Linked DNA regions of Drosophila melanogaster. The protein of the gene in region 1 interacts with the protein of each later gene in a pairwise test. Each region holds a gene or a part of one and is shown on either strand. Other genes may lie near its edges.

What was found.
Region 2: the proteins of CG16972 (region 1) and Spn43Ab interact in a two-hybrid assay, tested with the Drosophila melanogaster proteins (one large-scale study listed by BioGRID).
Region 3: the proteins of CG16972 (region 1) and kipf interact in a two-hybrid assay, tested with the Drosophila melanogaster proteins (one large-scale study listed by BioGRID).
Region 4: the proteins of CG16972 (region 1) and Mpp6 interact in a two-hybrid assay, tested with the Drosophila melanogaster proteins (one large-scale study listed by BioGRID).

What each region holds. Positions count from the first base shown.
Region 1 is NT_033779.5:13,195,291-13,205,938, reverse strand, and holds CG16972 (uncharacterized protein), read left to right. Parts: upstream 1-2,643; 5' UTR 2,644-2,938; coding exon 2,939-3,395; intron 3,396-3,530; coding exon 3,531-5,228; intron 5,229-5,284; coding exon 5,285-7,336; intron 7,337-7,395; coding exon 7,396-7,594; intron 7,595-7,656; coding exon 7,657-8,383; 3' UTR 8,384-8,837; downstream 8,838-10,648. Other genes in the region: Pect (phosphoethanolamine cytidylyltransferase), read right to left, coding at 1,667-1,749; Edem2 (ER degradation enhancer, mannosidase alpha-like 2), read right to left, coding at 9,668-10,189, 10,260-10,358, 10,535-10,648.
Region 2 is NT_033778.4:7,150,628-7,158,038, reverse strand, and holds Spn43Ab (serpin 43Ab), read left to right. Parts: upstream 1-4,396; 5' UTR 4,397-4,474; coding exon 4,475-4,502; intron 4,503-4,894; coding exon 4,895-5,781; intron 5,782-5,975; coding exon 5,976-6,120; intron 6,121-6,186; coding exon 6,187-6,308; 3' UTR 6,309-6,377; downstream 6,378-7,411. Other genes in the region: nec (necrotic), read left to right, coding at 1-1,248, 1,315-1,454; Spn43Ad (serpin 43Ad), read left to right, coding at 2,681-3,640, 3,839-3,989, 4,047-4,159.
Region 3 is NT_033777.3:7,910,573-7,918,580, reverse strand, and holds kipf (kipferl), read right to left. Parts: upstream 4,731-8,008; 5' UTR 4,498-4,730; coding exon 3,944-4,497; intron 3,790-3,943; coding exon 3,307-3,789; coding exon of another isoform or gene 3,303-3,306; exon of another isoform or gene 3,212-3,302; intron 2,669-3,211; coding exon 2,401-2,668; 3' UTR 2,128-2,400; downstream 1-2,127. Other genes in the region: CG10445 (uncharacterized protein), read left to right, coding at 1-725, 787-1,653; Rfk (riboflavin kinase), read left to right, coding at 5,568-5,652, 5,717-6,093; Prat (phosphoribosylamidotransferase), read left to right, coding at 6,972-8,008. UniProt on the Drosophila melanogaster protein: DNA-binding zinc finger protein that recruits chromo domain protein rhino/rhi to specific chromatin regions enriched in H3K9me2/3 histone methylation, mediating piRNA (piwi-interacting RNA) biogenesis.
Region 4 is NT_033779.5:21,151,396-21,158,185, forward strand, and holds Mpp6 (M-phase phosphoprotein 6), read left to right. Parts: upstream 1-4,892; 5' UTR 4,893-4,933; exon of another isoform or gene 4,934-4,996; 5' UTR 4,997-5,575; coding exon 5,576-6,064; 3' UTR 6,065-6,121; downstream 6,122-6,790. Other genes in the region: E2f2 (E2F transcription factor 2), read right to left, coding at 3,081-3,184, 3,251-3,590, 3,712-3,970, 4,177-4,286, 4,349-4,648; Coq3 (coenzyme Q3), read right to left, coding at 6,122-6,790.

The DNA.
Region 1 (10,648 bases):
GCTGTGACCCGTTGACAATGGACATAAGGGAGCATAGACTGCCAAAATTACCCGGAAATGCCAATGAGCATGATGTATATGTTTTAGGTTTAAATCCATAAATTAGGTGACATTTTCTAATCTTGCTTCAGGGCATTCGCAATTGGATTCTAAAAGTTTTGCCATATGTATGTTTTTGCTTAGGCAGAAGTATACTATAAGATTGAACCACCTCTTAATAATAAATGGATATGGTTTAAAAAACCCTTTTAAAATAAAGACGATCCCTTGCGATTATTTAGTCAGTACAGGAGAGGCCCAGCGAAATGCCAATTAAATTGGGCACACAAAAGACCGCCAGACGATGACGACAGCATTGTGGGTCAATGGCGAGGCAATGGCAATGATGGTGGTGCAAAAGGGGTGTGGGGTCCATCGCCGAGGCGGAGGGCATGCGCATGCCAGAATCACGTGATGTTTGCGGACGGACGACCGGCGGGCAGCCACAGTCAACAAGGGCCACGTAAACGCAGCCCTCATCCGAAAATCTGAAGCCTCAAAAACAGAAGAGCGGAAGGAAAGGCAGGCTGTTCAGATACAGTGGGTTAGCCAGAGCACATGTATATGGCACATATATGTATGTACATTTGCTTGTTGGGCGTGTGCCATTGTTTATACGGTGAGTAGAAATACAAGGAAATAAGAGAAAGAGCGAGGGCGCATATAAACAATGGGTATATTTTTATTTTTACCGACTGGCGGTAGCCACAATTGAGGAAATTTCTATCGTCCCCCAATGAAGCAAACTTGTTATGGTAGGCCATCTATCCATCCGTCCATATCGCAGTCTAACGCGTCATTACCGATAAAGATAAACCGGTTTCTGATGATGCATTGCACGGAATCAAATAATTATATATATATATATATATGGGGGAACGCAATGCCTATAGAACCATTTGATGGTGCCCAAAACAAGGCAAAGTGCGTCAATAGTATCTATATGCGGATCTAAAATACATAGATGCATTAGATGAACCGAACACCCGGTTTATCACATATAGCAATTAATTATTGTGCAAACTAATTTGGGATATATGTATTGTTGTTAGCTTAAGCGCCATAAAGAGTGCGAGTATCGCCGGAAAAGGCAAATTAAACATTTTCTCTGAGTAATCTGTTTTAGAATAGCCACTGTAAGCGTACAATTATAAATAGATTGCATAGCGTATAAATATAAATATAATGCCAAATGTCCCGGTCAAGCGTGGAGAATATGGACATTTCGGATCCGAGAGACCTTGAACCTGAATTATGTAGACATTTCAGCCGGACGACGGCAATGGGTGGATATTTGGAACGGGCAGCGAGACGGCACCGTTTCACAAAGATTTGCTAATCAATTGAGGAACCCTGGACGCTTCTTAGCACGCCTAAAAATGGGGTTTAGTTTATCGTCGACTGATTACGGTTATTGGTATTGGAAACCAAATTGGAATTGAAATAGTAGGGTTCGGTTGGCCGTGGTGTGGCATGGAATCGATGGCACCGACGCGGAATGGTTATGCTTTGACTCACTTTACCGTTAGCGGTGAGTAACGACGTGACGCAATGGGCTGCCCTAAGAACCGTTAGACATTGTGGACCGAATTCCTGGAGGCCCCTAAATGTAATGTAGATGACTCACCATCCATCGCACCAGACGCGCACATCCTTCCGCTGCTTGTCCGAATACCCATTGCAGGCGCTGGTATCGCCATTTGCCTCCATCGTTGACTTATTGAATTTTCACAATTTAATTTAATTTTAATTTAGAATCCGGCTAACGGGCGAACATTAGATTCCGGAGAGTATGTTTCTGTTTTCAGTGCTCGTTTTGAAGGCGGAAACTCGACGACAGCGACGTTCACGCTTCGAGAGCTGTAAGTTATTTGTTCTGAGCTACGACGACGCCCGCTATATATCAATTCCCATTTCACGACCGAGCTACTCAGTTCAGTTTTCGTTATCGGTTTCGGACTCGGATTCACGTTCAGACTCGGAGCGGAATTGGTCTCAGATTCTCAGACTTGCGTTATCAGCGCGCGGGCGCATGGGAACTTCTTTGGGGCGTAAGTGCGGTGTGTTTAGCTTGGGTTTTTTTTTAGATTCTTTCATTTCTTTTCTCACAATTTCGAGTACCGTGAGAGCAGAGTGGCCGCATCGGTGTTTGTCCAAATATACCATATGCCTGGTGCGATGAATACCAGCTAACGCGGATTTTGTAAACATCAACAGCTGATCGAGATATATTGGGAATAACTTTAAATTGGCAAATTTTATGTTACTAAGCTAGAACTTTTATATTAAGCAAGTACAAATCTGTATTATTATACGTTAAAAGGGTATTAACTCTATTAAATCCTTATGAGTCGATCACCCCAATGAAATGTATAATATTTTAGGATATAACAAAGTGTTTTGTTTATAAATAAATGTAAATATTGTCACAACAATTATTAAAAAAAAAGTGTCATAGAATTAAACAACGAACACTACTAATAACATTCACAATTAAAATTTTTTTTTTCATTTTAAAGGTATATTTTATTGATTGATCCCACTGTAAAAATAATACCGATGGTATTTTAAGAGGCATATTGGCCATGGCGATGTGAGATAATACTACGGTGTTTCCCACGGTCACACAGGATAAAGCAACTTAAAATATTAAGCCTATCAAATAAGAAATATACAACGCACAGCACGCAGATATACGAAAAATAACAATCGAAGGAAACCGACCAAGCCATGATAATGTAATCATGATCGTCCACAGTCAGTTCGGGCATTGTTTTGTAGACAGCATCAAGTATATTTTTTAAATTTCACGTGCTAAATTTACAAGAAATCCTACCACAATTACTAAACGAGTCGACGAGGGCTAGATAATCCCAATCCCATTCCCCGTACCAACGCGATGTCCAGAAGAGAAGCCAGCCTGATGGCCTACGTAGCGGCGGAGGAACACCTACTGAACCGGTACTCGCCGCTGGAAGGCGACGAGATAGATACGGCCAGCGAAGCTCCAGGCGACGCATCGGACGTGGCTGAGGATCGGGAGTATCCCACGGATCTTGTTGCATCTGTCACCAGATCCTCGAGGACGGGAGCAGATCTGGACCCCGCCGTGGACAGCAACCTGCACGTGATCTCCGACGACTCGGACACCCACAGCTTTATCTCGAGTGGCAGCGGCTTCAAGGGCTGGCCGGAGGAGCAGCCGTCTTCCAGTTTCGTCCCTCAGAATGAACCCTTAATATTCGGACTTCGCCGGCAAATGATGATGACCGAAGAGACACACCAAGCCCCAGTATGGGCCACCTGCACACCGGCAAAACGTTCGTACAGCAGCCACGAGGTCATCGAGATCAACGGTTTGTTAATCTGTTCCATTAACTATACAAGGAAATCTCTTCCATTTAATTGATTATGAACATTTATCCCAATTGAAAATATGAAATATCTAATATGGTAAACTCACTCAATCGCATACTTTTCTTGTTTTTTAGACTCACCCGAATCTGTCCAGGATCCGGGCATTGCACTAAGCCCCGGCATGCTGCTGACAAATGGCAATGTTGACCAGTTCGAAATGCTGTCCCACGAGAATGATGAGGCTGAACATGAACTTCAGGTGGCCGAAGAAGGGGAGCAGTGTGTGATCTATGAGGCTGTGGATGGAGAGAACATGGTCGTTTTAGGAGAAGAACACTGCTGTGAGATCATAGTAGCTACCCAGGGAGTGGCATGCGAGCAGGAGTTCGCCAGGGCCATCATGATGGCCGGAAACGGTACCGGTGCATTGCTGGGCTTGCTGTCCGAGGAGAGTGATGCGAATGAGTGTCTCAATGGGACTGCCTACATCGAGGAGGTCGTGGAGGATATGGGTGTGGCCGAGGCACGATTGGCGGCTGGAAACAATGTGTACCTTAGTGATGCAGCGCTAGAACAGCCTTTAGTGCACCAGGATCTGGTCGACGACGAGGCTCCGGAGGAAAACGAAAACGCCACATTCTTAGACGATACACCGATGGAGGAGGAACGCCCAGATATTTGTCAGGTGTATGATCACGAACTGGAGGACCACGACGATGAAGAATGCGAGGACGCAGTCATCCAGGAAGAACCAGCCCAGCCTATCGACATTGTAGCATTCGAGGGACAGGAGCCGCTGCCAAATAATCCGCAAAGAAAGTTGCTTCGCGAACACAGCAGTCCCACGGAATTTCCCGTCAGCTCATCCTCCATGCCCAACGCCAGTGACCACTACGACTATGAGGATGAGTTAACGGGCGGCCGCTCTCCATCCAAAGTGGCTCCACTGAAGCGAAAGTATCCGCCGCTGATGAAGAATACGCTCCATGGAGAGGCTATGGATCGAAGACTGGCAAGCATTTGTCAGGCTCAGCCGCAGATGAGTCCCGCCGAGAAAGTCTCCAACTGGGAAACGGCACCCAGGGAAGAGTGGGCCGATGTCGAGGATGTGGAAGGCTTTGAAGCTGCCTTCAAGCAATATGAGGCTGTTACCGCATCACTCAAACAGCTTAACTTTGCCGAATTCCGTGAAGCACTGGTCCGGAATATGGAGAAGATCAGCCGTGAAATCATGCAAACCTCAGACGAATCCACTCAAGAGCTTGCCAGCTCTCAGTCGGCGGAACGGCCGGTGTATCGTCGCTATTTGCACATTCTGCCCACCGAGGAGACAATTGTGCTAGATGATGATGACGACGATTGCTACGAGGTGGTCGGCATGGAAAAAGCCTCTGTCACCACATTGATACCCGAAGAGGAGCTACAGGATAATCAACAGCCGGAGGAAGAAGAGATAGTGCTGCCAGTTGTTGATGACATAAAGAACACGGATTCACCGAATTTCGAGCAGCGGAACCTTACCAAGGAAACATCTACAGCAGACTTGGAGAGAAGCGCGCTTACTCAAACGGCGGGTTCATCCGCTGCGAATTTAGACGCATCCTTATCCCATGCTCAACCTTGTCCAACTGCTCCGGCAGGACTTACTGATTTTATGCAGGCGAACTTAAGCGACCGTGGGCCATCAGAAGACCAACAACTAACCAAAGCTGTATTAGATGTTATGCGTCAGCAGGTGCAAACAATGCAACAGCAACAGCAGTTTATGGAGCAAAAGATGAACCAACAACCACAGATGTATCACTACGAGGAACTGCCACAGGCTCCCCAACGTAAGACTTTTTATTTGTATTTTATTGCAAATTTAATTGGTTAATTTAAATTACAGAGATGCAAATGGAAGGGAATCAGGGGCCTTACGTTAAGTATCCGAATGAGCAACAGGAATTCTGCAACTATCTGGGTCTCACCGAACTGTCAACAGCAAATGCCGTGGCTACCGCAATGAGGGAACTAGCCAACAGCACTATCCCTCGCCGATCGCTGCGGGTGAGACCACAACAGCAACTGGACAGGATGCGTAGTGATGTGCGTGGCAAGCGGCGCGAAAGGGAGCGAGATAGGCAGCAGGATAAGGACAAGAAGATACCGTTGACCACAAGTAGTGAGCTTAGCACCGATAAAGAAGAACCCTCCCCGCCTCAGACATCAGAATCCGTTTCAAGGATGGCGGGGGATGCGGATGTCCATTTCAACTCTCAAATGCCTGCAGAGCATAAGCGAAAACTGAATCACTTGTACAACTCTTATTTTGCGGAAGAGGAAGAATGCTCTACGAAGAGGTCACCCAAAACCACCGACTTTATAGCCAGTTCCAAGTCCTTAAAGGATGTAGAGAGGCGTCCATCGCTCAAAGGACAGGAGCCGCAACGTCATAGATCCATCATTGATGGCGACGGCTATCAGAAACATCAGATAGACAATGAGTCTGAGAAGGGTCGGGTTCAGTCCGTTGAGGCGGCTTTTACTAAGATCTTCGAGGCTGCCGCACCTGCCCAATCCAAGCTGCTGGAGAGCATGCAGCAACGCTTGCGCCAGGCGCGTGAGACGAAGCCATCAATTTATATTATTAAGGCTACAAGCAATGCCTCGCCCCCGAATCCATCACACAGCAGGCAGGAGTCTCACATCTCACCGGCGCCCTTGAACTTAATCGGCGGCTTTGGTGACGTAAGCGCGCCGCATCCTTCTGTCATTTCCCAGCCAGCGAAGAAAAGTCCTACAATAACCAGTCCAGATAAGGAAACTCCAGCCCCCTTACCAGTTGATACACCCAAAAAATCAAAACATAGGAAAACCCATGGAGCCACCAAACCTGTTGCCGCTACACCACGACGCCGCACTACAATGGGTGCATCCAGTCTCGGGAACGAAGCACGTGCACGCGATTTGGTTACCCGCTCCACCACGCATCTTAATTCGAAGCTACTTCGTAGCCGCAAGGTTAGTCTGCTCAAGAGCTACGCCCTGTCGGACGAAATGGCTCAGGGACGATCGAAACGGATGGCTGGCGGTGCAGCACAAACCACCAAAAAGGCTCCAATGCCCAAGGCAGCACGGACGTCGTTAAAGAAGCCGGCAGATAAAAGTCTTCCTGAGCAACATCGCTTGGAGCAACAGCAATTGGCTCCGCCAAACTCTCCCCGAAAGATGAAAGGTGTCAAGGAGACTGAAACTGACACGACAAGTGCAATGAAATCTAGTCGCCTTACTAAACGGACCAAGCGAGCACGAGCCAAGTCACTGCCTTCGAATATTGAAAGGGTGACTGAGCCTGTGGCAGCCGTTCCTAATGCCAATGTATTGAGGCTCGCTGACCTGGCACCAGAAGTGCCCAACACATTCGCGCCTACACACAGCCATCTGGTCAACTCCACAGCCAAAGAAGCCGCTGACAAGACCTTCGTTCATTCCCCCTCCGTCGCTCAATCGCCTTATGCACAGCCCGTGCTTATTTACCCGCCATCCCCAACAACACCGCCACCGAATACGGAGCCACATCGCCCTCGCCAGCAAGCCGGAAAAGTCAATCCAGCTGACTTAGTCCTGGCCACCCCTCCTGGGGGCCTGCTGCGACTCAGTCAGGGATCCGCGACGCTAGCAAATCCACTTTCTGCCAAGCACGGCCAGGTTCTCTATATGTACTACGAGCTGGAACAGCTCATTGTGCTGCAGGAGAATTGCATTACCTTCTGGAAGTACTCCAAAGTGTTCAACGTGCTGCATCAACCGCGACATAATCCCTCCTTTGATGGCGCCAGAAAATCTCCATCTCCAAAGCTGCCTCAAACACCTTCGCGCGAGCCCAAAGACGTCGAGCAGGAGTTGAAAATGGGCCCGCGATGGGTTTACCTGGGCAGAGTGCGGCGCCTGACTAGCGGTGGGTTATGATCATTTATACACTTTACGAATCTTTCTAGCCTCTTTGATGCATTACAGAGAAAGAGATCTTTACGCCGTTTGGCAGCCGCATTTGCGTGCACAATTCGACGCCGGTGTACCTGGAAATGCGAAGCAGGCCGCTGGACCATCACAAGAGGGAGGTGAAGCTAACCTCGCTACATGTGAATGTGTATTACTTCTGCGAGGAGGAACTACGACCCCGTATGCACTCTGTGCACTTGGATGCTGTCAATTGGTGAGGACTATCACGCAGTATGCATAAATTCAATGACGTAACCTACAACTTTCGTTATTTAGCGAATGGCCGCATGTCATATACACAACTATAGCGGATTCGCGTTACTTCGTTATGGCATGGCAGCAGGAACTGGTGATGGGCAAGTCGCGCTCGGGCATTTGCAAATATTCACTGACGCCCACGCTGGATACGCTGGCCTCCATACGGGAGTTTAAGCAGTTGCGCCACGAGCTGCGTCACATTGAGTGCCTTTCAGAGGATCGCCTTATCGGCTACGGCCAGATGCGCATCACCGTCTGGGATCATCGCAGCGGCGATACTCTGATGAACTACGACTTGGGCCGGCCGCTGGGCCGTTGCCTGGCTGCTACGCACTATCCTAGCCTCGACTTGGACCAAAGCAGCATGCTGGTGCTTTATCAGCTGCTTAAAGAACCAAACAAACCGTCTGAGGTGCATGTGATCGCCTGTGAGCTTTCCCATGCCACGCCCTCGCACCGCCTGCTGCAGGTCCACCGCTTACCATCGCCGCAATTCGACGATGCCACGGAGGGCGTTAACACCGGTGATCATCTGATCATCAAGTCAGCATCGAACGACGAAGCCTGGATAAGTGCCGCCGATCCGAGACAGCTAACCTATTTGGCGCCGCAAATCAATGGAGCTCAGCGTTTTTATGCCCGCCACAAGTCCCAAGTGATCGAGATGTCCCCGCAATCCCTAACTGTAGATAGTATCGCCAATCACATGTTGAAATTGGCTGTCCAGCAGACCCAATCGGCGTAGACCTGTGTCGCGGAACTAGAAATGTGGAGAGTCTCGGCCTTGAACAAAGTTTTTGTTTTTTTTTTTCACACAAACCCATGTTTGAATATCACCCAGAATACCCGATCTATAAATGTGCTTTTGGCTGTCTGCCCAAGTATAGTTCAAATATAGGAAACTATAATAAGTTGCGTGTTAAGCCCTGTAGTCCTAACAATCATTTTAGTCGTAAGTAAGTCGGAGAGTAGTAGCCTTTATTATGCGCTATTTTGAAATAAGTGTTTTTGTTTCTTTCGTTCTTTTTATTTTTTCTAAAAGAAAAACAAAACTAGCTTAAGCTATCGTAGTTTTAGGCATATGAATTCAACTGTTTGATTTGCTACTATCGACTGAAGTAGTAAATTTGTCATATTTTTAAGATTAATGGAAACACCAAAATGGAAAGAAATTAATGTCATTAAAACGGAAATCTATTAAAAATACAACGTTTTTGTTTGCATCAATTGCATCTAGTCGATTCACAGATATGTTGTCATCCACAATAATTTGGTTTATAATACTCGATCACGGATTTCGAGACTGCCTTTGGACTCGCATCCTAACGAAGTTGGTTTTTTACTTCAGTTGAATCTTGATTATATGGATGAGCCGGTCACCGAGATCTTCGTGTATTGGAGTACAAGGGAAGGTTAATCCTATAAGATCTCAGGGGTAAAATCATAGCTGGCTCTTGAGTATTAATGATAAAACGAAAATGCCTTTGGTTTTTAATTATAGTTCGTATATTTTAAACTAATTTTGTATAATATCTAATCAATTTCAACTACTCTGTTGTCGATCAATTCCGACTGTCTACCCTATAAACTAACTTCTTAAAACTAATCATTATTTACGATTTTGTTAGTCTCTAAGTTCTAAGTTTTTATATACAGAAGTTTTACTTACATCAAAAAAGTAAAATCCATCGAAAAAATTGTGAGGTGGACCAAATATACAATTAGAATGAACGCGAATGCGATGCTATTCGGTTATAATATAGCCACTAGGAAGCCAATTGCCTGCCTGAGAACCAACCACGAAATGCAAAGATCCCTAAACTGAGTTCCATAACTCGTGGCATTAAATCGCTCTTACATGTCTAGTAAAGTACAGGAAATTCCAATTTAGTTACGTTCGCTTACTGTACACACGTTACGAATATAGAGAATATACATATCTCTATTTTGGCGAGAACCATTTCAAGGCTGTATCAAGCCCCAAAAGAAGAGTAAACGCTGAGGGTGCTCCGGCAGCCGTAGCAGTCCACTACAATTCTTTTTCCGGTTTCTGTGCTACCGACGCTGTTTGGTTCTGGCGCTGCTCCTTGGCCAGTTGCCACCGCTTAAACTCCACCATCTGCATGACGCGAACACGCAGAGGTTGTTTCCGTCGCTGCATGACCGCCGACAGTTTGCCGAACTCCATGCTGTACATGAATACGACTGGAATGAGCACGTCGTCCTTGCCGTCGCCAGACATTGCGAACATCGGCTGCGTCTCACCGGAAGAGCCCGGAACATTATCACAGACAATCAGCGCCGCCGCCCCCACCTTCTGGGCCAGTCGCGCTTTGCTAACGAACGTGCAATCGCCGCGCTCGGCCACCAGGACCTTTCCTTTCGCCTCCTCGGCGTTCTCTAGGCTCTCATCGCATGCTCGTAGCGGCTTGGCCAGAATCACGTCCCCTTCGACGAACTGATCGCCAGTTAACTCTGGGCTAAAGTGCGACGGCCCGGCCATCAGTGCGATCCAATCCTGTGAGTTCTCGTCAGTGGCGTAGGCAACGGCCTATAAACGAGAAAACCATTTCAAATATCATTATGATGATTTCCATTTAAAATGTATAAAGCATGCAAACCTGCAGTTGCGCTAGCTGATTTATGCTTTGCATCTTGGTCAGCTCAAGCATCTCCTGCATAAATTGCAGTCCCATTTCGCCCTCCTCGTGACTTTTGGCCTGAATAAAGTCGAATTTATATTATTATATTTTTTCTACGATCTGTGTGCTGATGATGATGAGAAGGAAGAGTAGGAAGCGAAAGATCGAGGAGGAACTGGTGGCACAATGGTTACCAACCAGAGTGTCAAACTAAATGCAAACGAAACCAAAAAGCAGAACAGAAAAAAACTTACATTATAGAAACTATGAAACAGTCGCACCTTGCCTTGGCTGCGGTCGCCTACCGAAACCATGGTAATGCCCATGTCGTAAACAGCTCGAAGATGATCTGCATTGCTTGCCTGAAA
Region 2 (7,411 bases), on another chromosome or scaffold:
TTCTGGCTGCTCAGACCTTCGCCCAGGAGCTCATCGCTTGGCAACGGCAACAACAACAGCAGCAACAGCAGCAACTGCAGCTACAGCAGCAACTGCTGCTGCAGCAGCAACAACACCAACGTAACCCAAGACCGGAGCTGGGCCTCCGTTCCCTGCCCGGAAACCCGTGGACCCAGAACAATCAGGAAGCCATAAGCGATGTGGTGGCGGTGGACCTAACCAAACGTGAGCCGGTCACTCCGCCACCCAATCGCCCGCCGCCCGTCTTCAGCTACATGGACCGCTTCAGCTCCGAGCTCTTCAAGGAGATCATTAAGTCGCAAAGTCAGCAGAACGTGGTGTTCTCGCCCTTCTCCGTCCACGCGCTGCTGGCCCTGATCTACGGGGCCTCGGACGGAAAAACGTTCCGGGAACTGCAGAAGGCCGGAGAGTTCAGCAAGAACGCCATGGCCGTGGCCCAGGACTTCGAGAGCGTGATCAAGTACAAGAAGCATTTGGAGGGCGCAGATCTGACCCTGGCAACCAAGGTCTACTACAACCGCGAGCTGGGTGGCGTCAACCACAGCTACGATGAGTACGCAAAGTTCTATTTCAGCGCCGGCACGGAGGCTGTCGACATGCAGAACGCCAAAGACACGGCAGCCAAGATCAACGCCTGGGTGATGGACACGACGCGGAACAAGATCCGGGACCTGGTCACACCGACCGACGTTGACCCACAGACGCAGGCGCTCCTTGTGAATGCAGTCTACTTCCAGGGTCGTTGGGAGCACGAATTCGCCACCATGGACACATCACCCTACGACTTTCAGCACACCAACGGCAGAATTTCCAAGGTGGCCATGATGTTCAACGACGATGTGTACGGCCTGGCCGAGCTGCCTGAGCTGGGCGCCACCGCCTTGGAACTGGCCTACAAGGACAGCGCCACCAGCATGCTAATCCTGCTGCCCAATGAGACCACCGGACTGGGCAAAATGCTGCAGCAGCTGTCCCGGCCGGAGTTCGATCTCAACCGCGTTGCCCACCGCCTGCGCCGCCAGTCGGTCGCTGTGCGCCTGCCCAAGTTCCAATTCGAGTTCGAGCAGGACATGACCGAGCCGCTAAAGAACCTGGGAGTCCACCAGATGTTCACGCCCAACTCGCAGGTGACCAAGTTGATGGATCAGCCGGTGCGCGTGAGCAAGATCCTGCAGAAGGCCTACATCAATGTGGGCGAGGCGGGCACAGAGGCCTCGGCAGCTTCCTGTAAGTTCTGAAGACCATCAACACCCCCGAATCCTGTGACTAATTATCTCCCAATCTCTTTCCCAGATGCCAAGTTCGTACCCCTTTCGCTGCCTCCCAAGCCCACGGAGTTCGTCGCCAACCGGCCATTCGTCTTCGCCGTCCGCACACCCGCCTCAGTTCTGTTCATAGGTCACGTGGAGTATCCCACGCCCATGAGCGTCTAAAATGAACCAAATTCGGACAAATTGATTTATTAGAATTCCATTTCTGAGTAGAGCCTTGCCCGTTGCATTTGTGAATAATAATAATAAAGTATGACGCTGTATTTATGGAAACTGAACTTTGATAACCCCGTTTCGCTGATAAGAGCAATGGGATTCCGTGTCGATCACACGGCGATCCGGAGCAGCAGTAGTAGCAGGTATTGCCATTGTGCCTTTTCCCAGTTGTTTGCCGGGGCTCTTGGCTATTCTGGATTTCCAGCGAATGGTTTTTGCCCGCTTCTGTAAGTTGGCAAACCCGTTTTGGAGCCGCGGCACTCCTCCTGCCCTCTTGTCCTCGCATCCACGGCCGTAAATCAAAGGCGGATTTCTCAATCATTTTTCAAAATGAGCGAAGCTTCCTCATGCGCACTAGATCTCACTTGAGATCACCGAGGATGGAGTGCAGGGTAACCCATTTTGGGGGAGCAATGGGGCTGAGAATTGTAAGACTGCGGTATGAGTAATTGAAATACCCGCTGAAAGCTGGGCATAATTAATGGCGCTTACTCAAGGTTGCCTACACTCAACAAAACTACGTTGTAAATTTGGGGTTCTTTCTGATATTGGAAGGTGTTAAAGAGTAGGTAGTAGGTACCTACTAATGAATAATTAAATATCGCGAAAAACGCTTCATCCCTCAGATAGCCCATTTCAAATCTCTGCTGCTAAAACTTATTAAATTGCTAAATAAAAAACAATTAGAGATGATCTAATTAAAATGTCACCATTATTCTTATAGTAATAATTCTAATGATTATATACATCAGTTACCCCTCCGAAATGAAAGTTTAGAATTTCAGATTTCTGATTTGCTATTCTACATTCATTTGATTACGAAGGCAATCAAAATGTCTGCACCTTTTGTGTTGCAGTGTCGAATTAAGAGTGAGTGAGTTAGCTTCCGAACTTGAAATTTTCTCAAGCGCGAAACGAAAACTGGATAGAATCGCTTGCTACCTCTCCCAGTGAATCTCTCTGAGAACTTCGAGCTCTCCGCCTCTCGAATCGTTCCGTATCACCCAAGACCTTCAATGCCGAGCTCTGACTTTGGCTTTGGACCTCTCCAATCAATGACCTCAATGTCTCAATATAATTTGAATTTCCTTGAATGAGCGCGTAGCCTAGTTGTGTGTAAGCCACTGGATCATTAACATTAGCATTAGTCGAAGCTTGGTATTTCCCAAAACATGATCCACTGGAGACTTCTTTCCGCCCTACTTGTGGGCCTGGCTATAGCTTTAACGCTTCCAGTCGACGGGGAGCTCTTGGCCAGATCGCCGGCCAGCGTCTCGAGTAACCGCTTTGGCCTACGCCTAACTACTAAGTTGGGACTAACTCAACCAGATGCAAATGTGGTGGTTTCCCCCTTGCTTATACAGGCGGCGCTCAGCCTGCTGTATGCGGAAAGTTCTTCGGAGTACGGTAGCCAACTCCGCCAGGCTCTGGAGCTGACCCACGCCAGTCACCCGAAGCTTGCGGTGCAGGACTTCGAGACCCTTTTGACGGACCTCAAGCAGTCGGCTGCCATTGGCTGTCGCTTGCGGTTGCTGAGTGACCTCTACGCACAGCAGCGCTTCACCTTCAACTTCCGCAATGAATTCGAGACCTTGGCCGCCCGAATGGGCGTCGGCTGCCACCGCTTGTCGTGGGAAAGTGCGTCGAACGCGGCCCAGGATATCAACTACGCCTTCCTTAGCCGCAGCAACTTCAGCCTGGGGGAGCTCGTCAGTGCCCCCCAACTCGAGTCCTTGGCCGAGCACAACACGCCCTTTTTACACGTCTCGGGAGTCACCTTCCGAGCCCCTTGGGCTTGGGCCTTCGATCCTACCGAGACGCAGAGCATCAACTTCTTTGCCGGGGGAAATCGCCCCAGGCTGGTGGATGCCATGTTCGGACAGCACCGCTACAGGTACGCTGAAGTGCCCGCTCTGGACGCCCAGCTCATTGAGGTGCCCTTCGCCACTGCAGACCTCCGAATGCTCATTGTATTTCCCAATCGGCCTGATGGCCTGGCCCAACTTGAGAGGAAGCTGGCGCAGTCCGATCTCCACCAGCTAAGGTCCCAGCTCGAGGAGCGCAAGGTGGCCCTCACTCTGCCCAAGCTCAGAGTGCTAGTCCACTCCGACCTGAAGCACGTGCTCGAGGAGGTGAGTTAACAACTGTTAGGATTTCTCTTGGAACTGCAGCTTGTACAAGTTCAAATCAAACGTTTTCCATATGGAACGCAATATTAAATAAGAAACGCTAGAGTTACGTGGATACTTATTAAGCTAAGAAGCAGTCATTAGACTTCTCCTTTGGCTTGAGTGGGAAATTTAATGTTCTCAACATGATTTCCCTTGCAGTTGGGTCTGGCAAAACTATTCACATCGGAGGTCCACCTGAGCGAGGTCTTCAGCTCCATCCTGTCCAGTTCGGCTCCACCCTTGGGAGCAGTGGTCCAGAGTGGTCTCCTGGAGCTACAGGAGGATGGCGGCAATGCCGACGACTCGTTCTGTAAGTGATCACGCCAGTCTCTGACCAAGAAGCCTCCTAAACCAGGTGTACTTCTAGCCTTCGGGGATCTGTTCCGACGAGCCCTGCCCCTGGTCATCAATCACCCGTTCTTTTACGCCATCGGCAATGGCAAAACTCTGCTGCTGTCCGGCCACATCGTCGACATCTGAGTCTTTCTAGGCATACCTAATTCTCGATTCCAATGCTAGTTCAAGCCGGGCGGGCTATCGCCTTATCAGCCCCACTCAAATCTCCGCGAAATAAACAGAATCACCCGTGGCCAGCCAAAGGTGACAAATGATTTGTAAACACACTTGATCGGTATTTGTATTTGGGACCCGAGAGCTGAGTTTCGTGTTTGAATCCGACTTGGATCAACCTCTATAGGCGCTCTGCGATCGCAGAGATTTCAGTTCACATTCCGACGAGCTCAAGTGCGAATCAAGCGGAGCAGGAGACGCCCATCAACAATTTATGTGACGACCATGGCTGTCATCATCAGCTGCCTATTACGTAAGCCCCAATTAAGCGATCTGGTTTGTGCACTGTACGAAAGCTGTACAGGAATGTATTTCCACTTTAAAGGCCGTTGCTATCAAAAGAGTTGCTACAATTTTGGGTGTTTTATTATCATTAAGAATAAATTTCTTCTATTTTCAATTGATATTTGACGTAATGCCACAGTTTCTAACTTGGTGATAAAGTCAAATCGATTTCAAAGTGACAAATATCCTTCCTATTTCTGTGAAAATTATATAAAAAGTGAATCAAATCGCACGAAAAAATATGTGAATTAAATGTGACAATTATTCGAGCTATAATTTTCTCCAAGTGTGCCTCATCTGGCGGGGCGGAGCCTGCAAACAAATTGCGACTAATGCCATGTTTCGCATCGATTCCTTTAGTTCTCCTCGCGACAGTGTCGCAGTCCAAGACCGTGGGTTACGATGCGGCTGCCGATCGCAATTTGCTGGCTGCCGATCTCTACAACGCCGTGGCCGCCGATCATCTGAACGAAAATGTGGTCATCTCGCCAGCGACCATACAGAGTTCCATGGCGCTGGCCTTCGTGGGGGCCAAGGGTCAGACGGCATCGGAGTTGCAGCAGGGGCTGCGTTTAGGTCCTGGCGATGCGGATGCGGTGAGCCAGCGCAGCGGTAGTTACCAACAGGCCCTGACCCGCGACAACAACTTCCGGCTGGCCAACAACATTTACATCAACGAGAACCTTGAGTTCAAGGGCTCCTTCAGGGACGTGGCCCAGCGCCAGTTCGACTCGAACATCGACAAGCTGGACTTTCACCCGCCGTACAACAAGCGCACGGCGGATGGCATCAACCGGGCGGTGGCCACCAAGACCAACGGCAAGATCACTGACATCCTCCGCGCCGAGCTGCTGAATGATCGCACCGAGGGAGTGATCGTGAACGGCGTTTCCTACTCAGCCGCCTGGCAAAAGGCCTTCCGGCTGGACAAGACCGAAAAGCGCTCCTTCCGCACCGGAAGCGGGCAGTCTGTCAAGGTAGACACCATGTGGACGCTGCAGAACTTCAACTACGCCGAGGTCAACTCCCTGGACGCCAAGGTGGTGGAGCTGCCCTACCAGAACCCCGACTTCTCCATGCTGCTGCTCCTGCCCAATCGCAAGGATGGTCTGAGATCCCTGCAGCAGTCGCTGTCCGGTAAGAATCTTCTGGCCGAAATCGGAGCGATGAGCCAGCAAAAGGTGGAGGTGCTGCTGCCCAAGTTTAGTGTCACCTTTGGCTTGGGTTTGGAGGGACCATTCAAGAAGGTAAGTAGGAATCGATTTGAGCGAATTTTCAAGTGGTTACGATATTGTAATAATATTTCTTTGGATTATGAGAAAGGTTTTTTTCATAAGTCAGTTGATAAATTCTGATTGCATTTTTACATTTTTACATTTTTAAAAGACTATCAACTATTTATGATGATGTTTAATCTAACACTTTAACTTTCGTCAACTAGCTGGGCGTCCATACAATGTTCTCGAGAGATGGTGACTTTGGCAACATGTACCGCATGTTTGTCAGCCATTTCATTAACGCAGTGGAGCACAAGGCCAATGTGGAGGTCACTGAAGCTGGCGTGGATCAACCCCTGGAAACTGGATGTGAGTAGACACCTAAGTGCACTAAGCAGATCCCAGTGAAGTGACTACCTTTCTTCCGAAATCCAGTGCTTAAAGGACTCTTTTCGCGCTCCAAGAAGTTCGAGGCAGATCATCCGTTCGTGTTCGCCATCAAGTACAAGGACTCAATCGCCTTTATCGGACACATTGCTAACTATGCTTATGTCTAAGCTAGATCGCAGATACGGAGTAGATCATTTTGTTAAAACTTACAAATAAAAAACACACGTAAATTGACCTAATGAATGTTACTTTTTGAACAAAAGACTGACAGAAATTAACAACTTGTATGAAACTGGAATGGACGACGTCCAAGTGTTTTTCCCAAAGGTTGCATTTTAGATTATTTTTAATCCGGCGCGGCACTCACCTTTCTAGCTCAACAGGCATTTGATTTGGGGTATCCATGTTTGCGGAGCGGAGGATGTATCCGAAGTTTTTATGGCTGGCGTTCTACGGGCTGATGTCTTTTCGGTTTCTTTGTCGCTTGATTGGCACTCACAGGTATTTCACTGGTGACACTGGGGGCGGGGGTGATGCCTTTCGGCATTACTTATATTTATTATCTTATTCTGCGGTTTCTCGGCCGACTGCGCTGCGTTGTTTCCTTTAATCGCGCACATAAATCAACAAAAGCCGAGCCAGCTGACAACAATTTGAGCTTAGGCGTATTTATTATAAATTTCTTGGCGCGTTCGTGAAAAAATTCGCGGAGTGCCTGTCGATAAACTGGTTCGCGCACCGAATTAACTTTGGCTCCACCAAATGGCTCAGGCCCGATCTAGCTGCCTAATTGTATTTATGCATGTGCTTGGGGTGGGGGACACTTCGCAGGGGTTGGGTGAGGAGGGGGTGGCTGCTGGCCATTTAAAATAATTGATGCACATTTCCCGGCCGCTCAAGAAACACACGCAGCCACACTGCTGCCACCGACGGCAGGCATTTCATTATTTTCCGCAAACTCCTTTTCCTGGCCACTGCACGCGACAGCTGCCCGATTTCTGGACTCCCGTTCACCGATTCCCGGCACTTGATAAGCCCAAAAGCGCAAAAAAGCAAAAACGCGGGGGCCGTCGCTGATCCGTTCCGTTTCCGTGCGTTCCCTAACGTTCCTTTCCGTTTCGTTTGCCTTCGAGCGTTCCGTTCGCGCACGCGCACGTCCGCGAGTTCGATGTTCGTGCGAGGCGCGCAGCAGACTGACAGCGATGTCGATCGGCCCCAAAGACGAACTCCAAAAACGGCGAACTCCCTGCCTGCGCACTCGTTTCTCTCG
Region 3 (8,008 bases), on another chromosome or scaffold:
GGAGCTATGATTTAGTCATTACCTCGTATAATCTCGTAGTAAACGAGCTTAAACGATATGGAAACACTTCTCCACTGTTCGCCGTGTACTGGAACCGCGTGATCCTCGACGAAGCTCACATCATTCGGAATTCTAAAACCAACTGCTGTAACTCTGTATGCCAGTTGCGGGCGCATTGTCATTGGGCCCTGACTGGAACGCCTGTCCAGAATCGGGGCGTCGATGTGTTCGCCCTGCTGCGGTTTGTAAATGTACCAAACTTTCAGGACCTCCAGCAGTGGAAAAAGAACCTAAACGAAAGCATGCTCGGACATCGCCGACTTAACTTTATAATAAAACCACTAATGCTGCGCAGGACAAAGCAAAAGCTACAGGCATCTGGCGACATGCCTGCGCTGCCTTCCCTTAAGATTGAACTTATATGCGTACAGCTATCGAAAACTGAAATGGCCGTGTACCAGATCCTGTCTGCCATATCCAAAAAAATCTTTACACAGTTCCTGCTCCAACGCGAGAAGGGCAACAGTGATTTAAATTATTACTCTCTGGAAAGAACCCCACAGTTTATAGCCGGACATATGTCCGACGAAAGGTACAACGAGATCTACGAAAGATTCCTTAAGTCGCTTGGCTACAATCCAGGGGAAAAGATCCTTGGTATCTATATCCTGGTGCTACTGCTGCGGCTACGACAGTTTTGTTGCCATCCGGGACTAATGATTGGGGTAAATATATACATATTTTACTTTATCACCCCACATAATCATACTCAACATCTTTCGTTAGATGCTGCGTGGTGCTTTGACCGCCGAGGACGTCCAGAACGTGAAGGTGGATGCCTCAGACGTGGAGGGCCAGCTCAAGATGGATGTCCTTGCCGAGTTGGATAAGTTTGACGAAACCGATAGCGAAGATGACTGTTGTGACGAGGAGGACAGTACTAGAAGAGATGGCAATTTCAAGTTGGAAGTGATAAAAGATGAAATTAAGGAGGAGAATGTGCCATGGGATTCTGGTGATGACCTGCCAACGGCCAGTTCTTTTGAGGATCAACTAGATAGTGCCAGAGCTCTTAAACTGCTCAATCCCCAGAATCCCATCTTTCAGTTCATACGCCCTTCTGCCAAACTAAAGATGGTCATTGATAAGCTAGAGGAACTGCTCACAGGCACCAACGACAAAATCATTGTTACATCTCAGTGGGTAAGCTATCTCGCAATCGTCCGTAAAAGACTGCAGGATCTATCATGGGAAACACTTGACTTTAATGGCCAGCTGACCGCCAAAGAACGCGAGATTGTACTGCGAGACTTTAACGCGAATAACGAGAAGCGCGTTCTTCTACTCTCCCTCACCGCTGGCGGAGTGGGACTGAATCTGAACGTGGCCAATCATATGCTAATTGTGGACCTCCACTGGAACCCGCAGCTGGAGCGACAGGCTCAGGACCGCATTTATCGATATGGTCAAACTAAGCCTACCTTCATCTACCGCTACATGTGCCAGGACACTGTAGAGCAACGAATTAAGTCCCTGCAAGATTGCAAGCTAGAAATTGCGAAAGTTGTGCTTCCAGAGGAAGGAGGAGAAGTGACCAAATGTGTTGGCGGTGGTCTCAACCTCGCGGAGCTAAAGAAACTCTTCGAGATGTGAGTCGAAGTATTTTAGTTAGTTTTAAGAAGATTATGTTTTTTTTTGTTTAAATTGTTCGCATACAAAAGCTTTACAATTTCACCAAAGTGTTTTTTAACGGATTGAATTCGTTTACAATTGTGTATTAATACTACACAGACTACCTTTAACGTTATACGTTACATTTGATATAGTCGCACGTCCATAAAGCATAAAGCATATATATTCCCTTTTTTTCTATATTAAGAACAAAACGTACTAATAATAAAGCATACTAGTTGTTTTCATGATGTATGGATCATTCTTTTTGTCTATTTTTCCTTTTGTTCTCGCAAAACCACAACAAAGCTAAAAGAAAAAAGTTTGAAGCTCTAAAGATATATAAGAAGGCATTAAGTAGCATGTGGTAGCAATCAATCGATTGTTTAATTATTTTCAGTATAATAATGTATTGTGAAATATACAATTAAAAGGAAATTTCAATAATATAAATTTAGAGCTTATTCTCAGTATATTTGAGTTTCTGTGAAATATATAATTAAAACGAAACTTAAATAATATTAATTTTGAGCTTATGAAAGTAACAAAAGAATCATATTTAAGAAAATTCAAAGTAAGAATCAACAACAGAAGTTTAGACCTGCGGTCATTATAATTATAATGAATAATAAATCGTTTATATTCCTTTCACATATATTAATCTGCTTAATTCAATGGTTGTTTTCCAAGAGTATAACCGGTAGTCACCCGTTTGGACATGATCTTCTCCTACATCGCTATTACGTTGTTGCTGTGAATGCGTTTTTTGTGCTTTCGCAAGTAGTTAACATCTACAAATACCAATGAGCAAAATTCGCAACGAAACAGATCTCCCATGTGACCACGCTCGTGCCTTTTGAGATGTTTTTCTGTTTTGAACTCCTCGGAACAATAGGTACATTTTTTAAGATGATGTTGGCGATTGTGAGTAAGCATATGCCGCTTCAAGGCGTAGACACTACTGAACTTCTTTTGGCAAATATCGCATATCGGTTTCCTGTTGTTAAATAAATAGAAGCAAATGATATTAGTTGATTCGCCTCGACTATCAGATACCCGTTAATCAGCTAGTAAAAGTGCGAGGGTTTTCTATTTCTATAAATTTTACTAAATCTTAGGGATTTAGCTCCTATAGTTAACGGGATCACGGCGTTCTTACGGACACGCAGACGGACGGACAGACTATTGATCCTGTGCAAGATTATTATTTCCTTCTACTAGTAAACCTTTTTATTACTTATCGTGTAACGGGTATACAATTTTAAAGTTTGGTTAAAGTTTGATTATTCAAATTTTCTTCGGCGAAATGGCTATCGCCAAAAATTTAAGTAAAAGAATAAATGAAAACAATAACTTAATGTCCGTTTGTTGGCTTTTTAAAGGTCTGAAACAAACTCAAAACCTTAATTTTCTAGATTTTTAATTCCAGAGATCTCTGCGGACAGACAGACGGAAAAATAGACGAACGGACGGACTGATGAGAACTTATGAACTCGGCTAGTGGTTCCGATTAAGAATATAAAGGGGTCAGATACGCTACCTTCGCTCGTCACAAATTTCTCAGCGGTACTAGGGTATAAGTATAACTATCAGGTATAACTATATTACATAAGACTGGTGGAGTTCCAAACTCACGGCTTTAGCATAGGTGGAATGCTGCACGTGCCATTGAAGGTGTTCTTAGTCCACTTTGGTTTTAGATCCTGCGCTTGATCGCTGTCGTCCGAGTCAGGATCCTTCGTGGACTCCGATTTTGAAGAGCCCGGCCTTTGTTTGTGCTCTCTGCGATGGATTTCCAGCTGAACGTGTTCGATAAATACCGCTGAGCACTGGCTGCAGGAGAGCGGACCGTCACTGTCGTGGGTGCGCAGGTGCCTTTTAAGGTGATCTTTACGCATGAAAGCCTTCGAGCAGTGGAAACACTTGTGCGCTGGCTTGCTTAGGTGGTTTCGCAAATGCCGCTTGAGGTTCGATTTTTGCATATAAGTGCGTGGGCAGTAGGGACACCTGTTGCACAGATCGGTGATGTGGGTCCTTAACTGGGTCTGGGAACAAAATCGCTTAGAACAGTGCGGGCAGTTGTAGTAGCCATCGGCATCGCAGATCATTTTGGTACTTCTGAAAATCGGGAATATAATTATTTAAGCTTATTTAAGTTATTTTTAATTATTCATATAAAAGTATAAGTAATCAAAGATGTACCTTCAAATTTTTATAATTTTTCAATTATTTGTCTATCTTGAGGCTTGATATTTATAACAAATTGCATTACCTTGTAGCTTCCTTTGGGATCATGTCTGCCTGTTCTTCTGTGCGACAAGTCCGCTTACGAGGATGCAGGGTGAAGGACTCCGGTGGGCCATCAATATTTCCCTCTTGGAGCTTCGCTTGGAGTGTTTGTTTTTGACTAAGATCATCATCTGGTTTCTGCGTTTTTGTCATTTGCTGCGTATCCTGTTGACGATCGCTTTTGAGCTGCATTTTCTGGTTTATTATCTGGTTCTTATCCCCATTACATGCAGCTAAGTGCACTTGGTTTTCCGGAGCACCCGACTGGTTTAGGACGCGGAAGAAGTGCTGGTAGCTCTGCTCGCTTTGCCACTTGAACCGGAAAGCATTCTGCACGGCCAGGACGCAGGAAACGCATATGAACTGCGGCAGCAGGTCGCCGCGTTTCACTGGACGTTCGGTACACCTGGCCAGGATGTGCGAGAGGCTCATCTCCGGTTCGTCGAGCACAGGATCCCTTACATTGGCGAATATATCTACCAGGGTGCCGGTCTCGTCCATACAAGTCCGGCACACGTTCTTCGCGCTGTGCATCATCTAAATCAACAACCAAATGCAATGTTTTTTAATAAAAGAACAGTTTACGACATCTTATGAATTGACCATTGACATTGGCCTTGTTTTGCAAACTAATAATCCCGTTTCGCTGGTTTTACAGTTATTGCTGGTAAATTATATGAATAAACGGCACATTTTTTAAAGAGTTCAATTGATTTCTCATTCTACACAAGTGTAAGTGTTCACTTTTTGGAGAATTGGATGATAACTGGAACTGCAAAGAAACCAACCGTCGCACTGATCATTTGTACATTTTTTTTAGTGCTGAATAATACATGTACACATGGAAAACAATTATTCAGAATAAAAAAAATTGAGATTGATATGATATGAAAAAATATGTATATATGTATATATATGTATATATGTATGTATATTTGTATTAATAACACAAATATTTTTCAGGCAAGCTGGCTTTCATTGTAATTTAATTACGATTTGGTGTTCTATTTATTTTGGGAATAGAGTACTAGTATTTACACAAAACATCTGATGATTCATTTATGAAATAAAAATTCAATATTTTCAATAGAAGCTCTACACAGCAAATAAAAGCTTTTGATGAAAATATGTTTAACCCGCCGCTAAAATTTTAAAATCAATCCAATTACATTAATTCTGCATTACAATATAAACCCAAGCTTTATTGATTAAAACCATACTGTGCGTAATATATACATTTCAGTTTCTTACAATTTAAATATCTAGTAAAAAAAATTCGCTAATTGACAGTACTATATAACTGAAACAGGTTGGCAGCCCGAAGGCAACAGCTGATTCGCTTTATGAATGCGGAAAATTTGTCTGTGTGTTTATGAATATTATGCCGATCAATGGAACGAGGAATAGTTATGTGAGTGGCTACGCGGCAATCACAACATACGTACTCTGTAGAAAACCCCGCTTGACTCCTTGCCAGACTCGATAAATTGGCCCGCAGCGCTTTGCGGTTGCACAGAATACCGCAAATCAACCGCCCATTGGCCCCTGATATTCATTTCAAGCGCCAGCACAGCAGATCTGGGTCAGATTGCAAGGAAATCTGGGAAATGCTGAGCCAACTGCCTCTGTTCGCTGGGGGCGAGATTGTTCGGGGCTTCGGACGCGGCTCCAAAGAGCTGGGCATCCCAACAGGTTGGTGGCGACGTTAGGCGAATTGCGAAGGTCATTTCTAATTGATAACCAAACCACTTGTTAGCTAACTTTCCGCTGGAGGTGGTGAAATCGCTGCCGGAATCCCTGCCCACTGGCGCGTACTACGGTTGGGCAAACGTGGATAATGGACCCGTGCACAAGATGGTCCTCAGCATCGGCTGGAATCCCTTCTACAACAACAAGGAGAAGAGCGTGGAGACGCACATGCTACACGACTTTAACTGTGACCTTTACGGCCAGACACTCAAGATATGCATTGTAGGCTACCTGCGACCGGAGCGCAGTTTCGACTCCCTGGAGTCACTGATTGCCGCCATCCGCGGGGACATCGAGCAGGCCAAGGCGTTCCTCGACGAGGCGGACAAGGCCAAGCTGAAGGAGGCTCCGTTCTTTACGGAGAAGCTCTGCTCGTCGAAATAGCGATGGCGTAGGTCAGTCTGGAAAAGGAGGCTTTGCTGAAGGACGCACTACTACTCTTCGCACGGCTTTGAAATAGTTATTCCATCAGTTATCTTATCTCTCAATTTGCGCGATGTGCAAAGCGGAATTCGAATATCGAATCAAGTACTTAAGCTAAACGTTTTCATTAAATTCCTACTGCTCATAATGACACCAACAAATTGAACCAATCGCATTTCAGTTTGATACTTATCAAATGTATAAAAGAAACCGTTTTTGTAAAAATGTTCCTACTGTGAATTTTTTCTAATATATTTATCTCTTAGTGGCGTTTTTATTGAGGGATTGCAGTGAACTTATTTTCAATTGTTATACATATGTAGTTAATTATTATTTATTTATTTCACGAAACATTTTTTATATTTCTGGTTTTAATTGCCTACGTGTTAAAAAAAAAACTGTTAAATATTATATATACGAACATACACATACAATTTTTAATTAATTTTAATTGCGCAAAATAACTTTAATTCAATTTAAAGCTTATTATTTAGTTTGATTGCGTATATTTTATATAAACGAATAAAATCAAATTATAATGTGTATATTGTTTTGTGTACTAAATTACAAATTAGGTAAAATTCCAATTTGAAAATACAGACTATAGAATGCTATCGATCCATCAGCACACCGCACTATCGATATCAGCGACCGATCGATATTGGGCTTGATCTCGACCGATTCGGGAAAAACTGAGCTGCGCGTGCGAGCGTGCGAGGATTTTTCTTGTATAAAACCGTTGCGTAAATCAGCAGGTAAATCAGATCGGCGTCAACTGCGCCACTGCCTGCAATCAGTTGCCTTCAACCAGCATATTGTACCGATTTTTCAGCAGCAACATGTCAGCGCCACAGCAACAACAACAGTCGCAGCAGAAGCAACAACAACATGTGCGCGTGGTCGAGCAACAACAGGTGGAACCAGCTGAGGCGGTGACCTCCAGCATGGAATCGGAATCCATCTCGGCCAGCAAGGAGCTAACCGGTTTGACGCACGAGTGCGGCGTTTTCGGGGCAATCGCTTGCGGAGATTGGCCCACCCAAATGGACATTGCACACGTGATCTGTTTGGGGCTGGTGGCACTGCAGCATCGTGGGCAGGAGTCTGCGGGCATAGCGACCAGCGAGGGAAAGTGCTCCAAGAACTTCAACGTGCACAAGGGCATGGGTATGATCAGCACCCTGTTCAACGACGACTCCATGAAGAAGCTTCGTGGCAACCTGGGCATCGGTCATACACGCTACTCGACCGCTGGCGGATCCGGAGTGGTTAACTGTCAGCCCTTTGAGGTACATACGACACATGGAGCATTGGCCCTGGCCCACAATGGTGAGCTTGTTAACAACGAATCTCTAAGAAGGGAGGTTTTGGCCAGAGGCGTGGGCTTATCCACGCACAGCGACAGTGAGTTGATCGCCCAGTCGTTGTGCTGCGCCCCGGAGGATGTTTCCGAACTGGATGGACCCAACTGGCCAGCTAGGATCAGGCATTTCATGATGCTGGCGCCACTCTCCTACTCGCTGGTCATCATGCTAAAGGACAAAATCTACGCCGTGAGGGACACCTATGGAAATAGGCCGCTATGCATTGGCAAGATAGTGCCCATCAATGCTGGGCACGGAAATAACTTAGACACACCTGCCGATGGTTGGGTGGTGTCCAGTGAGAGCTGTGGCTTCCTGTCGATCGGTGCCAGATACGTCCGCGAAGTGGAGCCTGGAGAGATAGTGGAGCTGTCGCGAAGTGGCTACCGCACGGTGGACATTGTGGAAAGACCCGACTTCAAGCGCATGGCCTTTTGTATATTTGAGTACGTTTACTTCGCCCGCGGAGACAGCATCTTCGAGGGTCAGATGGTGTACACAGTGAGGCTGCA
Region 4 (6,790 bases), 8.0 Mb from region 1:
GTGTCTTCGGCAGAAGCATGGAAAAAATTGCGCAGAATTTAAAAAAACTCAGTTGTTATGGTCTAGTTTGCCTGATTCTTGGGAAAATTTTGTAGCCACAATAAGAAGAAAAGAAGAGAAACTAGAAAAACAGAAGCTGTTTGTACACACATACAAAGCAGAACAAAAGTAAGCAGAAAGACAATCTCCAAAAAATTAATTTAAATGGAAATTCTACATACAACTGCCAAAAAACGGAGCATCGCGAGAGTGAAATAAAAAGAACAAAGAAAAAGGGAACGAACAAATTTTTTAATGCATATCAGTGTGGCTAAACACAGAAAAAATATAAGGTGCCTGGGCAGTGGCGCTACTTCACATTTGTACATATATGTTGTAACAAAACTAAATTTTTACATATTATTGGAAATAAAACTACGGTCATGTTACCAGCAGATAAATTTATTGAGTCGCCTGGTATAGGAACTGTGATTTTGCAAACTGAAAATCGGTAAATAACAATGAGAGACGTTCTGTCCCCTCGTTCGGCAAATAACAAAAGAAACAAGATCAAACTTCCACACCTTTGTAGAAGAAATCTCTAAGGGCCGTCCATCTGGAATAGCATCAAAAAATTTAAAAAATACAAACAGATTTAACGAACTGGCATCACATGGGCTCCAGTAGGGGATGAACAATTCCTATAAATATTTAAAAGCACTCCATCCACGAAAGCCATATTACCCGACCCAATCAGGGACCCAACTGTATCGTTACTACATACCCATTTGAATGGATGGACTTTCTAACCTATCTACCAACCAGAAGTCCAGACACAGAAAAAGGCAGCGACAATATCTCGTATCGAACGATACAAACACTTTCCTCGACAAAAAATGCGGATCTATTTAATCTGCTTAATATAATACGGTTATCAGGTCAAATCCCAGAAATTTGGAGAGAGATCAAATTTCAGTGGTTTCAAGCTTCATAAGCGTTCTGTTTAAGATAAAAGAGGAGGGGCTAATATAAATTGGATTGGACCACCTCATTTTACCTCATCCACTCTCTGCATAAATGACCTAATAAATAAGGTCACTTAAAGTGAAAGGATTTCATCTAGTTGCAGCGTGCCTCGATCTTCAAAAGGATTTCGAATGCGTAGACATGGGAATTCTTGCGTCTAAATTACAACAATTCCAATTTAACCCTCACCGCATTTATTGGTTGACAGACTTTGTCCGAAAATGAGTTTCAATTAAGCGAAACTACAAAACTAGGCGTAAACAGAGGAGTGTCTCAAGAAAGCTGCTTGAGCCAGACTCTTTTCAATCTATACACAGCAGAAGTACACAACCTGAGTGATGGTAAACTGTTCGAACTGTTCCAATATGCAGACTATTTATAAGGCAATCACTACAAATTGCTCACAGTGGCACTATAATTAACGAAGTGGAAAACTTTAGGAAGAATTATAGCCGCGAATTACTGTCCAAATATTGAACGAGCGGTCTCGTCACCCAACAAAACGGGCGCTATCTTAAGATTGTTAAGTGGCTGCAACTTTGGCGTCAATACCACGAAAAGTTTTCTTCTTCACAAGGCATTTCTAAGGAGTAGGCTAGAATATGCATGCTCCTCATTCAGCAGTTTATCCGAAACAGCTATAAATAAAATAAATGTGCACACCAATCAAAGCTTCAAAAAAGTGCAAGGGCTTACTAAATGGACACTTACCCAAATTATCTACCACATGGAGACAGAAATGTCACCGGAATACAGAATTCGTTTCCAAACGACAAAGGAACTTATTAAAGTATTTGCCCACGCATTACCAGCCAAAGAAATATTATTAGGGAATTACGATCTCAACACTAGCTATTCCAAGTCGTACAACGACTTTAAAGTCATATTAAACCAAATCAAAGGCTGTGATCTGGAACCAAAATTAAGGTAGACATAAACTTCTTTAAAGGAATTGACAAAAATAAAAATGCTATAGACCAAAGTTGCATTTTAAAATTCTATAAGGAAAAGGTCTCCAATCTGGGAAACAGGGGGTTCGAGATAAACTTCACTGATGACTCAGTTTCCGAACATCAATCCAACGCAGCCTTCCTAACTTCTAGCTCAATTGTCGAACTGCTAGCGATAGACAGAGCTCTGGACTATGTTCTCAGGATAGGCATTTCCCTAGTGGCCATCTTAACAGACAGCATGAAGAGCGACATTGCAATCCTATAACCTGTAACATTAAAAAGAAGATAGTTAACAATCCCAATGCTTGACACACATTGAAATCCATCACATGCCTAGTCAGTCCGGTATTCCAGAAAATGATCTCGTGTACCTGGCCGCCAAAAATGCATCGAAGCAAGGAATTTTCACCGAAGTAAGTTGGACCATTAAAGATGTCTCGGTTTAAATCATTCAAAAAGACTGGGAAAGGGAAAACGCAGATTTTGCTGCAAACAAACAGCGGGACTACTGCACACTTTTCCCAGACACATTGAAAAAACCGTGGTTAAAAATCCCAAATGTAAACTTAAATCTACAGAGATCAAAAGAATCAACAGACTTCTCAGCGATAACGGATTCGACAATTATACTTTGAATAAAGTACATGTTACAATAACATAAGGGGACCAAGTAACGTTTTCGATAACGTATCCCACATCTTAATCAGCTGTTCCAAGTACAACACTTTCCAGCCCTGGAAAAATACCAAGACATCAACCATCTCTCTAAAAACGTAAACATAAACGCTTAACAAGGCATCATAGATTTTCTAGACCAAATTAAAACAAACCTATAAATCTTTCCAACCTTCCTTGGCACTTTCCACATACACGACCAAATAATTCCACGACATTTACGGAAGTTACCTAAAACAAAAAAATACACAACCTACAATGTGTGCATTTACGAATTTATTGGTTTTGCTGTTATTTGCGAAATTACAAGGTATTACACTAATTAAAAATTTCTAGACGATATAGAGAAATCCAAAGTCAAAATTGTACTAATCATAAATATTTGCACAATGCACGCGGCCAGTTGCAGTGTAGCTATAGTCCTAAGGTGTACATCCCCTTCCACAGTTAGGAGCACTGAACATCAAACAGCTCGCAAATACCTTCGTCGCTTTTTAACGCAAAGTTGAAGTCTTCCTGCGGAGGATTCAGCTGCAGCAGCGGCGGGTTTTCTGCAACATCGGACAGCATCAAGTTAAACAGGGGGTCTTTTAAATTGGCAAGATAAGAAGACAAACCTAGATTCGGATCATCGGGATAAAATCGCCGCAGCGAATGACCGGACAGATAATTTTGGAAGATTATCTTGGCCGTCAGCTCGTTCTCCAAAAGTTTCATCTCATCTTTCATCCCGGGATTGCACGAGTAACCGTGCTCGTCGGTGATCACGTTCCCCGCGCATGCTGGAGCGTTACCATCCTCGCTGGAGTGCGACGACGTCGAGGGTGAGGGCGTGTCCAGACGGTGATAGTCAAAGAACCCATCCACATCGTGCGGATTTGTAGTACTCTTTCCTTGGTTCGTCACCAGGCGAATGTCAATTGCGCTGCCATTGTCCAGCGACACGGCCAGCTCGTACTACAAAAACAATGTTTCGTTTGAATCCCATATTATACGATAAATTTAGATATTTCTTCGTTGAAAGAAATGGGAAACCTCGAAAGCTAGTTTAAAGAGCTCCGACTGGTAAGATACCTACATGATTACGCTTGATATCTACTTCCTCGTCATAATTAGGTATTGTGAATACGGAATCATCTCCAAAGATGTCCAGCAGATCATCACGTGTCACATATGCATACGACCTATTCGAGGGATCCTGCATAACGTAGCGCAGATTGCGCTGTGCATACTCCAGTTGCCTGTCTAGGTCATCCTCCAACATTTTCAAATGATTAGTCCGGCTACGTGCCAGGTCGTAGTTCTCTTGGTCCTTGGCATTGTTAAAGCCCCCTCCGCTGGAAAATGCACATTATCAATAATTTATCAAGAAATATTTATGTGGAATCATACTTTGAAGATGATCAAAGTAAATTCCACCTGTTTGTACTGTATTAAGTATTAAGTGCTAAAGGGCGACTTCCACCCCATTTTGTTTAATTTTGTTGTCACTAACATTTTTAGTTCTAACTAAAATGTTTCATAAAATGTAAGGGGCTCTTACCGCCAGCGCACTAGGGAGCAGTGTCTGCCCTTATCAATTAGTCCAATGCCCTCTAAAACATTGGTAATATCGTATATTCGGCGCTTCTGTACGTCCAAGATTTTGGTTGCCTGCAGAGGGGAAATTTGGACGATGTTAAGGTAGAGTACTTAATGCTTGGCCGTGTTAGTACCGCTTTCAGGTCGATGGATCCTTCGTTGGCCTTCACGAGATCCACAAACTTCTGTGTGAGCAGGACCAGTGAGCCCACGGAGCGCTGTTGTCCAGGCTGCGATTGCGATTGTGAATTCGACGGAGACTTGATTGGCGTTGGAGGATCCGGTGATGTGTCCATGCTAACGGGTGTAGACTCGTAGCTCTGCGACCGGACCGAAGTCTCAGCCGAATCCACCTTCATCATCATAGCCGAGGAGGTGGTGCCCGCTGCGGAGCTGTCTCTTTTAACAATACTCGCGGTTTTGCGCTTGTACATGGTCCGCAATCGACTCGATGACTATACTCCTGTCCTTGTAACTCTTTGCGTGGCTGCACTCAATATGCAGCGATCAAGAAGCCGGAATTAATTGCACTTTGGAGCGAAAATTAAACGAAAATACGAATGTTGGCGCTAGGTTTGCTTTCCGCCATTTATGTCATTTTTTTCATTCTCCCTCTATTCTTCGTGCGCACTGCGCAGTGTGGCAAAGCGACGCTGCCACGACGATAGTAAATCGATTAATCGATGCTTGCGCACATTTCAACACTATATTTTAAACAGGTAAACATTTTTAATATTTTGATCTTTAATTTCAATTAATTTTCATTTAAATTCTGTATTTAGTTTAGTCTGCAGTCCAACACACAGATCATCCAATGTTTTCTACTTGGTCTTCAAATGTATCATCACGAATAAATAATAATTATTTTAGTACTCCATAATATTTAGCCATTCGTTAAGGTTTATTGTCCGATAATATTGGCGACAACTTTTAAATGAAATTGGGTCTTTTTTAGGTTTCAAATTAAAAGCATTAACCCTTTGAAGGCGCCTGTGCTAGTCTTGATCGTTTACAGAGCATGTATAGCACAGCTGGAAGTTTTCTTAAGAGTGCCCATGAAGATGGAGTTGAGCTTGTTTGTCAGTAGGGTGAATTTAAAATTTTAAAAAGATCAACTTGATAACGAAGGATTGTTTTAACTTTCAACAGTAATTTAAATATTTACTTTAAACATCGCATAAACACGAGGGCGCGCCACGTTTTCTAGCTAGGCTGAACGATGATTTGCAGCACTGGCTTTCCCCATTTGTTGTGCTCGGTCATTCTGCTTTTGAAAAAAATTAAATGTGCCTGATGGTTTCGCCCTAGTTTTTAAACTCAAAGGACTTCTACTATATTAGATTCAAAAATAAATAAGGAAAATGCCATCCAAATCAAAGCCGAGACTTTCGCGTGGTGTCCTGGACATGAAGTTCATGCAGCGCACAAAAGTTAAAGTGGAAAAGGAGGCAGACGATGAGCAGAGCAGGGCACTGTACTCCAACGAGATCAACCAGAAGATGCTCAATTCCACCTCGAATTTTGTGGTGGAGTCCAGCTACTCGATATGCGCCGGCCTGATAGACGGACGCCTCAGTTTCCGCGGCATGAATCCGGAGCTAGAACTTCTCATGGAGCAGGATCTGGCGGAAAAGCAGGGCCGCACAAGGCCGGAGCAGCCCAAGGAGGTATCCGACCAAGACATGGTAAAGGCTTATTATGCCAACAAGGCGCCCACGGTCTCCGGCAGCATGAGCAAGAAGTTTAACACCAAAAAGGACTTTAAAAGGAAGCAAATCGGCGGAGATAGTGATAGTCCGCATGCCATGAAGAAGCAGTACTTTAAGAAACCACGCTCGGGTGACGAATAGTTTACTACTTAGTTGTTACACTCGTGACTTAGCTTTTAGTTAAATAAATATACGAATTCAATTGTACTCGCGCTGTGCTTGTTTCACCGCCTGCAAGGCGTAGCACATCTGGTTGTTGTTGATCCATCGCCAGGTGTTGCTCCAAAAGTCGTAGGTGCTTCCATTTACCAACACCGTCTGACAGTTCACTGCAGATGAACGAGAGAATAAAGAATAGCCTAATCTGAATATAAAGCCTGAGATAAACTTACTCGTATCCAAGATGCGCTGAACGTCCAAGGGCGAAATCATTTTGTCCCAGTGGTGCGTTCCCCTGGGCACCAGATTGAGAACATACTCGCTGAGTAACACGCCACCGAACCAACTGGGTATGGTTTTGTTCAAAGTGGTGATAAAGATGGATCCTCCAGGCTTTAGGCTGCGTACACTGGCCTCCAGCAGGGACACTTTATCTTTGACGTGCTCCAGAACTTCAGACACTATCACCGCATCATAGCATTCGCAATTGGCCTTGGCATGCTGATCCACCGGCTCAATTTTGTACACCACATTGCTGGCCAACTCCGGACTGGAGCATTTGAGATGCTCGCGAGCAGCTTCTATTAACTTCTCGCCAAGATCTATGCCAGCCACCTGGGCACCCAGGCGCGCCAAGTGTTCCGTAAGCAATCCTCCGCCACATCCGACCTCCAGAATATTTTGACCCAACAACACTTTGGTGGTATT